Linked DNA regions of Macaca mulatta. The protein of the gene in region 3 interacts with the protein of the main gene of each other region in a biochemical or structural test. Links are inferred from orthologs where the notes say so. Each region holds a gene or a part of one and is shown on either strand. Other genes may lie near its edges.

What was found.
Region 1: the proteins of RPS6KA1 (region 3) and ERBIN interact in a test that uses a peptide from one of them, tested with the Homo sapiens proteins (2 studies listed by BioGRID and IntAct). The link is inferred for Macaca mulatta from reciprocal best matches to the Homo sapiens genes RPS6KA1 and ERBIN.
Region 2: the proteins of RPS6KA1 (region 3) and TAMALIN interact in a test that uses a peptide from one of them, tested with the Homo sapiens proteins (2 studies listed by BioGRID and IntAct). The link is inferred for Macaca mulatta from reciprocal best matches to the Homo sapiens genes RPS6KA1 and TAMALIN.

What each region holds. Positions count from the first base shown.
Region 1 is NC_133411.1:74,125,411-74,129,423, reverse strand, and holds part of ERBIN (erbin), read right to left. Parts: coding exon 3,964-4,013; intron 3,642-3,963; coding exon 3,526-3,641; intron 1,651-3,525; coding exon 1,581-1,650; intron 1-1,580. UniProt on the Homo sapiens protein: Acts as an adapter for the receptor ERBB2, in epithelia. By binding the unphosphorylated 'Tyr-1248' of receptor ERBB2, it may contribute to stabilize this unphosphorylated state.
Region 2 is NC_133416.1:59,194,435-59,197,976, reverse strand, and holds the end of TAMALIN (protein TAMALIN), read right to left. Parts: intron 2,771-3,542; coding exon 2,677-2,770; intron 2,579-2,676; coding exon 2,512-2,578; intron 2,321-2,511; coding exon 2,254-2,320; intron 1,768-2,253; coding exon 1,262-1,767; 3' UTR 573-1,261; downstream 1-572. UniProt on the Homo sapiens protein: Plays a role in intracellular trafficking and contributes to the macromolecular organization of group 1 metabotropic glutamate receptors (mGluRs) at synapses.
Region 3 is NC_133406.1:214,442,666-214,446,778, reverse strand, and holds the start of RPS6KA1 (ribosomal protein S6 kinase alpha-1), read left to right. Parts: upstream 1-1,824; 5' UTR 1,825-2,891; coding exon 2,892-3,026; intron 3,027-3,855; coding exon 3,856-3,972; intron 3,973-4,113. UniProt on the Homo sapiens protein: Serine/threonine-protein kinase that acts downstream of ERK (MAPK1/ERK2 and MAPK3/ERK1) signaling and mediates mitogenic and stress-induced activation of the transcription factors CREB1, ETV1/ER81 and NR4A1/NUR77, regulates translation through RPS6 and EIF4B phosphorylation, and mediates cellular proliferation, survival, and differentiation by modulating mTOR signaling and repressing pro-apoptotic function of BAD and DAPK1.

The DNA.
Region 1 (4,013 bases), on a different chromosome or scaffold from region 3:
TTTGGGATAACAGTAAGGGCCAGGTAAGAAACGGGCCCCAAGGCAGGGTGTGGTGGCTCACGCCTGTAATCCCAGCACTTCTGGGAGGCTGAGGCGGGCGGATCATGAGGTCAAGAGATTGAGACCATCCTGGCCAACATGGTGAAACCCCATCTCTACTAAAAATACAAAAATTAGCTGGGAGTGGTGGCACATGCCTGTAGTCCCAGCTACTCAGGAGGCCGAGGCAGGAGAATTGCTTGAACCCGGGAGGTGGAGGGTGCAGTGAGCTGAGATCACGCCACTGCACTCCAGCCTGGCAGCAGAGAGAGACTCTGTCTCAAAAAAAAAAAAAAAAAAAAAAAAGAAAGAAAAGTACAGCATGGAACAAGACAGAACAGAACAGAGAAGGATACCCAGTTAAAAAGTTATGAAGAATCCTTGTGGGTTTCTTTACTGCATTAACACCTCAGGGCTGTTAATATAATCCAGAATTAGAATACAATACAGTTTCCCAAGAAAATTTGGCTGCAGAGTTCATAAGTATCATATGAGACCAGTGTATCCAACACTGGGAAAATAGAGCTTTAAATAAATTATTATAAAGTATTGCTCAACATTAAATAACAAGCATTAATTTTTTAATTAAGAAGATCAGTAAATTGTATATTCTATTTTGTTATAACAACTTACAAGGAATCCTTACACACTGTTGGTGGGAATATATTATGGAGGTTCCTCAAAATATTAAAAATGGAACTATCATACAATCCAGCAATCTCATTACTGGATATATATTCAAAAGAAATAAAATCAGTATGTTGAAGAGATGTCTGCACTCCCATGTTCACTGCAGCAGAATTCACAATAGCAAATCAGCCTAAGTGCCCACGAATGGATGAATGAATAAACAAAATGTAGTGTGTGTACACAAATACACATACAATCACAATGGAATACTATTCAGGAAATCCTGTCACTTGCAACAACATGGATGAACCTAGAGGACATTATGTTAAGTGAAATAAGCAGGAACAAGAAGATAAATGTCACACACTTTCACTTATATGAGGAATCTAAAAAAGATAAACTCAAAGAAACTAAGAGTAAAATGGTGGGTTTCGGAGCTGGCAGGGGTGGGCTGGAGCATGGATTGGGATATACTGGTCAAAGGGTACAAAAGTCAAGTTAGGAGGAATAAGTTCAAGAGCTCTACTGTACAACGTGGTGACTACAGTTAATAACACTGTTATAGTCTTGAAATTACCAAGTAGACTTTAAGTGTTCTCACTATAAAATATGACAAGTGTATGAGATAATGCTATTAAAGTCAGAGTTTGAGTCTGACTTCCTAATCTCTCAATATTTTCACAGATTTAGGAGAAATCAGGCAAGTCCAACAGAATTCATTACTTATAAAGCGATACCTATTTTATAAAAAGTTATGTCCTTCTAAATAGTTCGAGATTTTTCTTATATAAAAGATACATTTACACGTGTACCACTGTATAGCTGCTCTTAAATGACCCTATGTAAATCACAGTGCAAAATTATATAACACAAATAGGAACTCCATTAACTTATAAAATCAGAATGCCCACCTGATTATCTGAGAGCCACATAGCTGTCAATTGCTGTAGCTTTGTAAAGCTAAAGGGCAAATTCTTTAATCTGTAGGAAAAAATACAAACAAAAATTAAACTTTAAAATTTGAGAAGATTTAAAATGAATGAGGGCTCAAAGGTTTTCTGAAAAATGCTGTATAGTTGCACATGAAAATAGGAGAAAAAAATCTAGAAAAGTCCCATATAATTATTTGTACAGGATATAAGACAAAATATCTAGTTTTACAAGAATTCGTTTCAAAAATATTAATTCTTTAATTGAATCAATTCACCTGGCAAGAAAATGGACAACAGAATAACCTTTAAAAATAACAGTTAATTGTCCCTGCCTTAGAGAAAAGAACACATTAAGGAATGTCTCATAAAACTGCTTTGGTTTATTTGTACTCAGAACAAACTGTTATAGGAAGCACTCTTAGTGATAGTTTGATATAAAAACTGCACTGCTCTCTATTTGTGAGCCAGCAGTTATGTAATCTAGAAGACTATCCTAAGATGATAATGAGTAAAAACAAAGTGCAGTCATTCATCAGTATCTGTGGAAGACTGGTTCCAGGATCTCCCTCAGACACCAAAATCTGCAGATGCTCAATCCCTTATATAAAATTGTATAGTATTTGCATATAACCTATGTACATCCCCCCCATATATTTTAAATCATTTCTAGAGTACTTATAATACCTATTAGAATACAAATGCTATGTAAACAGTTGGTATACCGTACTGTTTAGGGAATAACAATGGGAATGTTGGTACACGTTCAGTACTGACACAATTTTCTTCCAAATATTTTCGATCTGAAGTTGTTTGAATCCACACTTGCAGAACCCACAAATACAGAGGGTCAACTATAAATACTCATTAGAATACTAAATGAAAATACCCTATTTAAGAGGGAATTATCCAATTCAGCCTTGCTATCTTATGCCTAACTAGTCTTCCATGGCTTTCTTTCAAGGTAATTTGCACAACCTACTGTGAGTTGTAGGAATTAAAGGGTCAAACACTGACTTAAGAAAGCAGTGGTTCTTTTAAATAAAACAGAAGTTAGAATAACATAATTAGTAAAAAAATTGAGTTTAAATTAAAGCTCTACCTTATAAGCTATGTGAGTCACCTTAAATCTGAGTCTTAAAACCCTCCTACATAAAATGGCAATACTATTATACTATTTCATAGAGCTGTTTTGAAGACTTCACAAGACACTATGAAAGCAAAAAGTGAAAACACTCTACAAATGCAGTTGAATCATCATTAGTATGTTTACCTCAGGAAAAAGTATGGACATTCTGTTTTTAACTTAAACATTGTTCCAATTTACAACCTTAGTGATCAATTTGCTCTGCATCTTGGCTTTGCTGAAACCAGATTTCTGTCCAGAAAAATATTAGCAACAGACTAGATACATTCCAAAATTGTTTTGTTAAATAGCAATATTAAGGTGAAGATGTGACTTTAGGAATAAAAGGTAACTGTAAGGAGAGAATAAGGAATATATAGCTAAGTCAACCCACAATGAACAGTAACAACCACCGTATGATAAATTAACATCAGAAAAATTAGACCACTCCTTGTATTTAAAGAAAAAACAAAAATACACACTTAAGACCTCATTTAATGTTACTGATAAGTTCCTGGAAACCACAGCTTTTGCAAAACTGTGTATGGCAGGTCCTCAAATAATGTCATTTTCTTAAAACACTGATGAACGAAAGAAGTGATTTCATTATAAGAAGTGATTTCATTATATGTTGTTTCACTGAAAGTCACACTTTCCAAGAGCCTATCAGTAACATTGAGGACTTACTATGTATATTTAAAGAGAAACAAGCACTAGTTATTCTATTATATATCATATGAAACTTAATTTCATCTAACCAACATCTCCTATAAACCAACTGATGAATATAGTATCACAAACCTATTGTCACTTAAATTAATGACTTTTAATTTTTGCATATCACCCATTTCCTCTGGAAGTGTCTCAAGTTTATTGGAATGGAGAAACAGCACAGTTACATTTTTCCAGCTTCCAATCTGAAAGAGAAATATAAACTGAGGATCAAAAAATTTGGCCTACAGGTTGATCAACACATAAAAACATCATTTTTGAAAGTTATGAAATATACTCCATATTTATAAAAAAATAATGATTAGACTTTCTAATTATTAACTTTTATGTACATAAAGCATTTAGGAACCTCTTCTAAATTAACATAGCTAATTATTATTCAGAAAATAAATAACTTGATAAACTATTTTAGAAAGAAAATAAATGAAGCCACACTAAATAGCTATAATGAAGATAATCAGAAAAAAATGAAAAGACAAAAATCTAGATAAATCTAAAATACATTACCTCTGGGGGCAACTGTTGTAAGTAATTATGATCAGCAGCAAAAGTTCTTA
Region 2 (3,542 bases), on a different chromosome or scaffold from region 3:
CTGTAATCTCAGCTACTCGGGAGGCTGAGGCAGGAGAATCACTTGAACCCGGGAGACGGAGGTTATAATGAACCAAGATGGGGCCACTGCACTCCAGTCTGGGTGACAGAGGGAGACTCCACCTCAAAAAAAAAAAAAATCAATCTCATCCTGGGATTATGGGAAACCGCTGAAGACTGCTAGAACAACAGGGTGATCCGTGATTGGGCCCGTCACAGGCCAGGTGGTAATGCCTCAAGTCCCTGCAGATCTGGCTTGTGCCCCTCAAGGGAGACCTCAGAAGCTGGGAAGGCGTGCCAAGCACACGTATTTCTACAGGGATGGCTGAGGACTTGAGGTAAGCCTTGGCCACCACCTGCTTGGGTATCTGGGGAGGGAGGCTCAAGCTGTGAAGAAGTGTGGGGCCTCCAGCTCAGGCCCATACATGTAAGTTTAAATCTCCCAGCCTATTTCCCTGGCTTCAGGCTGCAAGAAAACAAGACGTGTGTGCGTTGGGCGGGGGTTGGGATGGTGGAGTCAGAGCTTGCCCCAGCCCAATCCTCCCCCTCAGGCAGTCACCACACTGACACAGATGCAAAAAACCATCCATTTTATACAGTTTGTGGTTCAGAAGCAACAATATGCAGAACGGTGGAACAGTCTGTGCTGTCCCCACCCCACCTGAACTTGCCGGTTCCTGTCCCCCAAGGGGCACAGAACACAGGCCCCCTGCCTGGCAGGACCCGACTTAGTTACAGGCCCCTGGGAGGGGCGAAGCCCTTAGGGGTCGAGGCCAGGAGGGAGGAGGACCAGCACCCGATGCCCCTGGAGGCCCGCTGGGTCATGGAACTGTGTGTGGAGGGTGGGGGGTCAGCCCACCACGGGCCATTTCTCCCCAAGGCTAAGGGCGGGGGAGCAAGTAAAGCTAAGGAGAGGGCTTCATGGGACAAGGTCCCCATCCCCTGCTGGGAGGGTGTTCCTGGATACCCCACAAGGCACTACAGATGCAGACTGTAGGCAAGCACCCCCATCTTTGGCCCCCGATTTCCTGGCTCTCCCCCTGCCCCAGCTCCCACTGTGGTTTGGCGGAGGAGAAGAGAAGGGTCTGGGCCCCCCACTCCCTCAGCAGACACCAGCCAGGAATCGACCCGGTGGGCTGAGGCTAGCAACGACCTTCTCCCGCTGCTCTGGGCTCCTGGGGTCCTCTTGGCTCGGCCTCCCCCTCTTTTAGCGCTGTCTGTTGCGAATAAATAAATAAATACCTCCCTGCCCGCCCCCGCCCCTACAGCTGGCTCTCCTCCTCCTCCAGGGAGCGGTTGAGTCCGGGGATGAACTTGAGCAGCCGCCGGCGGAAGCTGCGGTACTTAGTTTTGCGCAGGCCGGGGCCGCACAGGGCCTGCTCGCGGGCCTCAGTCCAGAGGGCGCCCGGCGCGCCCCCACCTCCGCCCCCGCCAGGGCCTGCGCACCGCACACTGGCGCTGCGGCTTAATGCGGCCCGCGGCCCAGGGCCCGGCCCCACTGCAGGGGTCTCAGCGGGGCCGGGACCCAGGACGCGGACCGGGGGCGGCGGGGGCGGCAGCGCCGGCGGCTCGGAGTCCCCGAAGAAGCACGTATGGTAGACGGCGTCGTCGGCGTCGCCCCTGGCCCGTCGGGCGCCTCCGCGGGGACGCCCGGGCACGGCGAGCAGAGGCCCGAAGGGCAGCGAGCCCGGGAGCAGGCCCGCACCGTAGAGGCAGGAGCGCACCGACTCCAGCGTGTCATAGATGCTGGGGTCCTTCACCACCAGGCCTGCGCAGAGACGGGAGAGGTGGGGGGGTGGGTCAGGCCTGGGCCGTAGTGTCCTCCGCAAAGGGTCGGAGGGCATGGATGGGGCATCCCCACTCCGTCCTGCTGACCATCTATCTCTGTGGCCCTGGCCAGGCACAACCCTGAGACCCTACTTCCCTCACCCGCAAATCAGGAATTATCACTTAGATCCTTATGGGGGCCGCTTAGCACAAAAGGGCCTCGGGAAGAATTGACACACACTCTTTGAGCCCTGGTGTTCCCCTCTGTACAGTGAAGATGACACTACCTGCAGAGGGCTAGTGTGAGAATAACCAGAAATGTGGGTGCGGCAGTACCCAAAGTAGTAGTAGCTCAACAAACCTTGCTTTACTGTGGAGGTTTACTAGTAAACCTTTCTTTACTAGAACCCGCCAGTTCTGAGGGGGTAGCACAGATGGGGGATCTGGAGCAGAACAAGTGGCCCTTCACACCCCGGGATCTACTTACCATGCACCAGCCGCTGCTCCTGCACCATTAGGGACCTGTACTCTCCCCACTTCTCATACAGGGTTTGCTGCAAGAGACAGTCCCCACCCCACTGTCACAAGCTAGCAGGAAACTAGCAGGACGTGGGTACAGACAAGGGGTCAGGGAGTAGACAGAAGAAACCTTCAGTTAAAGGAGATTCAGATATAAATGACCCCCCACAGGGCAGAGGCTTGGGAAGAGGAGGGTGGAGGCTGGACATTATCTGGGTTTCCCTACCTTCAGGTACTGCAGACGAGCCTCCAGTTCCGCCTTCCGGATTGATGTCCCATATAGAGTTTCCAGTCTGAGGTTGGGGAATCAAAGGCTGAGTGAGCCACAGGCTGAGGAAATACCAAGAGGCTGAGCTCAGGAGTTCTCAGGCACCTCGGCTCCCAGACATACCTGAGAACGTTGCCCGACGCCTTTATGATGTCCACAATTTCTCGATGCCGGATGCCTTCTACGTTCAGGCCATTGACGCTGGCGATGGTGTCCCCTGCCAGGCAGACAAGGGGGTTAGATTTGCTCCATGGGGCATGCTAGAATTCCAGCATCCTACCTTAGCCAGAAAGGGGAGAGGAGTGGGTAGTAACTCCAAGGAAAACTCCCGAACTCCCTCCTCCAACTTCTCATGGTTCTCGGTAGACTTCCTCTGACATCTCTCCTACTAGATCCAAACACACAGAACCACAGCCATTCGTCTGGGCCTGTAGTGACTACCAGGTTGTCCAGGCCCAGCACCCCAGCCAAAGGGCGGGGACCTCACACACCCAACACCTTCACTCTACCCTCAAGCTCTGTCCCAAGGCTAAGCCAACCCAGGACCCTGGGCTGCCCTCAGAGTTGGTTATTTCTGTCTAGTCCACGCTGGCCATAAGACCGAGTCAATTTAGGGAAGGGCAGGTGAGCAGCATCCAGCTGGGAACCAACCCTGGCCCCAGGCATGGCAGGGCCTCATGGATCCACAGAGAATCAGTCCAGCCTCTGGTGGTGGGAGAGAAGCACAGGGAATGACTGGCCCCTAGAGGGATAGTTCTGCTACCCTGCACCACTGCAGAGCCTCCTGACCTCAAGCGTGGTGTGCTCCATCTGAGGGCTCCATTCCCATCTGTAAAAAGGGGTATGGATCCCTGCTGTGGCTGCTTCAGGGATGATGGGGAAGGAGAGTGGATGTGAAACTACCTTGAGAAGTTGTAGTATACTACTTGGCTACTGCTACCATTTAAATATGGTTTGTCCCCAAAACTCATGTTGAGGCTTCATCCCCA
Region 3 (4,113 bases):
CTGGGCCAGGAAGGCTAAAAAAAAGCAGAAGTAAGAAGAGTAACGGGGCCTTCTGGCCACCGGCCTGAGCCCCACCATGCAGACCCCGGCAGATTTCCCCAGAGTTGAGAGAGACTTGGTTCCCTGTCCCAGAAAGGTGAGCAGAAGAGTCGCCTGCCTCCAGCAGTGTCTGTCACCGTGACTGGGCAAGGAATGGGTTTGGGGGTGGCTCTGTCCCCTGGGGTTTCTGGGTGATTTCCTGCTTCTGTCCCCAGGGAGTGCTCTCAGTCAGAGGCAGACAGATGAGGTAGAGGCTCAGATCTCAGGGTGGGGTGTGCAGGTATTGCTGTGTGTCCTTGGCCCCCCCTCAGTCCCTCTTTGAGCCAGGCTTTTTGCCTGTCCTGCCAGGAGGTTACACTCGGGTCTGATTTGACTGCGGCTCTCTGGTGTTTTTGTGGGGCTGTTCCACCCACTCCTCCATCTGTCAGGGAGGGTTAGGTATCTTCCCCTGAAGACAAGATTGTGTCTCCGAGGGACAGGACCTATAGTGGGAGGTCCCAGGTGGACTCTAGTACTGAAGGAGAAGGGGGTTTGGGTAGACGGGTGGGCAGGACGTGGCTCTGGCTGATTTACCTGTCCACCCTTTCCTGGCATTTGATGCCTGCTGACCCCAGGCCAGGCAGTAAGCAGGGAGGCACCTGGGTCCAAGCTAGCTCTGCCACTGTTTGCTTTGAGCCTCGGTGAGTCACTGTCTTCTGAGCCTCAGTTCCCTGTTCCTGGAATGAGGATACCAGTTTTTAGGATATGATCAGAGTCAAAGACATCAGATTGCACTCAGGAGATAGTCCTCTCAGCCACTATCTGGGCCCTCCTCAGGTCCTGGCATAGGAGGAAAATCCTAGGGAAATGGAAAACCTCAGAGGTGGGTCTGTAAGAAATACCAGAGTCCTCTCCTGAATGGTGAGAGTTTGCAGATTGTATCCCCTCATCTCTTTCCCCACCCCAGGTACAGCAGCAAGAACCCACAGTTCCGCCCTTAACCCCTTCCTGGGGATCCCTGCCCTGCTGCCTGCCTGTGTATCTGCCAGGTGTCAGACCTATCTGCCCTAGGTATTGTCAGTCTGCTTGGGGCTCGTTGCCTCTCCTGCTGTCTCTCTTTGCTGCCTTCCTGTGTCTGTGGTTGGGTTCCAATCTCTCTCGCCACTTGATAAGTGCCTGACTTCACCTGTTGGGCACATGTCACATGTTAGGTGCCTGTTGTTCATGTCCCCTTCTGTCTCTGCCTGTTGGGTTTATGTCTTCATCTGTCTCTGCCTATTGGATACATGTCCCCTTCTGTCTCTGCCTATTGGATACCTGTCCCCTTCTGTCTCTGCCTGTTGGGTTTATGTCCCCTTCTGTCATTGCCTGTTGGGTTCGAGTCACCATCTGTCTCTGCCTGTTGGATACATGTCCCCCTCTGTCATTGCCTGTTGAGGTTTGTTTTTTTTTTTTCCCAAGGCAGTCTCGCTCTGTTGCCCAGGCTGGAGTGCCCTGACGCGATCTTGGCTCACTGCAACCTCTGCCTCCCGGGTTCACGCCATTCTCCAGCCTCATCCTCCCAAGTAGCTGAGACTATAGGCGCCTGCCACCACGCCTAGCTAATTTTTGTATTTTTAGTAGAGACAGGGTTTCACCATGTAGGCCAGGATGATCTCGATCTCCTGACCTCGTGATCCACCTGCCTTGGCCTCCCAAAGTGCTGGGATTACAGGCGTGAGCCACCGTGCCCAGCCTGCCTGTTGGGTTTATGTCCCCTTCTGTCATTGCCTGTTGGGTTGGAATTCTCTTCTGTCCCTGCCTATTGGAGATGTGTTCCTTCTGCCTTTGCCTGTTGGGTTCATGTCCTCATCTGTCTTTACCTATTAGGTACATGTCCCCTTCTGTCTCTGCCTGTTGGGCTTGTGCCCCATCTGTCTCTGCCTGTTGGGTTTGTATCCTTATCTGCCTACACACATTGGGGATGAGTCTCTGTCCACCTCTGTCTGTTAGATATGAGTCCCCTCCTGCTTCCCCTTATTGGGTACACATCTCCATCTGTTTTCTATTGGATATGAATTCCTCCTGCCTCTGCCTGTTGGGTGCGTGTCCTTATCCATCCCTGCCTGTTGGGTATGTGTTCTCTCCTGCTCCTGCCTGTTGGATGCCATTCTTCTTTTTTTTTTTTGAGACAGAGTCTCGCTCTGTTGCCCAGGCTGGAGTGCAGTGGCATGATCTCGGCTCACTGCAAGCTCCACCTCCCGAGTTCACACCATTCTCCTGCCTCAGCCTCCCGAGTAGCTGGGACTACAGGCGCCCGCCACCACACCCAGCTAATTTTTTGTATTTTTAGTAGAGACGGGGTTTCATTGTGTTAGCCAGGATGGTCTCGATCTCCTGACCTCATGATCCGCCTGCCTCGGCCTCCCAGAGTGCTAGGATTACAGACATGATGGATGCCATTCTCATCTGTTTCCACCTGTTGGGTGCCTGCTTCTGCCTGTTGAGTGTCTCTCTTCATCTGCCTCCACATATGAGGCACCTGTCTTTGCCTGTTGGTTACCTGTTTGCTGTTGGGTACCTCGCTGCTGTTGGGTACCTGTCTGCTCAGCAGCTGCACTGGCAGAGGGCTTTCCCTTTGCAGACCCACAGGGAGGATGGGGGAATGGCCAGAGGGCAGCCCTCGGGCACTGAGGAGTGGGGGAGAGAGAGGAAGGGAACGTGGTGAGGGTGTAGGCCTGGTGCTGGGAAACCACAGGCCCTGAGTGATTGGCTCCCTTGGGCCGGGCCCAGCCCCCGCCCTCACCCTGCACATCCGCCTTGGTCCCGGCCACCACCGCGGCAGCCCCGGACTCTGCCTGCTCCTGCCATGGTGCCGTGGCCCTGCTGGGCGGATGGAGCAGGATCCCAAGCCGCCCCGTCTGCGGCTCTGGGCCCTGCTCCCCTGGCTGCCCAGGAAGCAGCGGCCCAGGATCAGCCAGACCTCTCTGCCTGTCCCTGGCCCTGGCTCTGGCCCCCAGCGGGACTCGGTGAGTGTACCCAGATGTCTGGTCCTGGCCTGGCTGTGTCCCTCGCAGCAGGTGCCTGGGAAGCCAGCTTAGCGTAATCTGGCTTTGGGCTGTCCTGGCCCAGGCCTGGCCCTGCGGGGTGACTGGACCCTGCCCAGACTTGCTTCCTGGGTAAGTGAGGAGGTACTTCAGGGCTTCAAGGCAATGGCAGCAGATTAGAGGGAGGGTAGAGTCCTGGAATGGCTAGGACGTGGCAAGGGGCTTCTAGTAGGTTTGTATGAAGGAAGTTTGGGAAGATGAGCCATGCAGTCTCTGGCCTTAATTCTGACCTGCCCCAGGCCAGCACTTACCAAGTTGATGGGGGAGTTTGGGTGACTCTTGGGTCTTTGTGCACGTCAGCCCTGTCCTACTGACCAGAGGGATCCCCTCATCCCATCCTGACCAGGAACGAAGGCCCAGCTCTACCTCCCCATATGAGAACAAACCTACTTCCTATTGTGGCAACCCTAAAGCAGCAGGGGGAGGGAAGCCCCACAGGCAGACCTGGGGCAGGTCTCTGGGTCTCAACCGGAGCCTGAGGTTGACTCAGCCTGGCCATGCCTGGGCATCCCTTTGGGCCTAATCAGGCCAGAGCATCGGGAGCAATAGGAGTGGTGCCTCTTCTGTTTGACCTCCCCAGCCTTTGAGGCCCTTTTGAAATCAATGACCTTGGAGGCTGGCCCTTCAGGGAAGTCGTCTGTTGGGCCTTTAGGTCTCATCTGCTGAGGTCTGGTGGGAATGGCCTTGGGCAGGGGAACTCCTGCTGCCCGGATGGGGCCCACCATGCCCACCAGCTCTGTCCCTCCATCAGGATGAGGGCGTCCTCAAGGAGATCTCCATCACGCACCACGTCAAGGCTGGCTCTGAGAAGGCTGATCCATCCCATTTCGAGCTCCTCAAGGTTCTGGGCCAGGGATCGTTTGGCAAAGTGAGTCATGAGCCCGTGGCTGTGAAGGCAACCCTCGTCATGTTAGAGGTGGGGGTCAGTGGTCACCTAGGGGCCCAAAGGATCAGAGGTCACCTTGGTACCCAGGGAGAACAAAAAGACCAGCTTGGGGCTCAGAGAAGA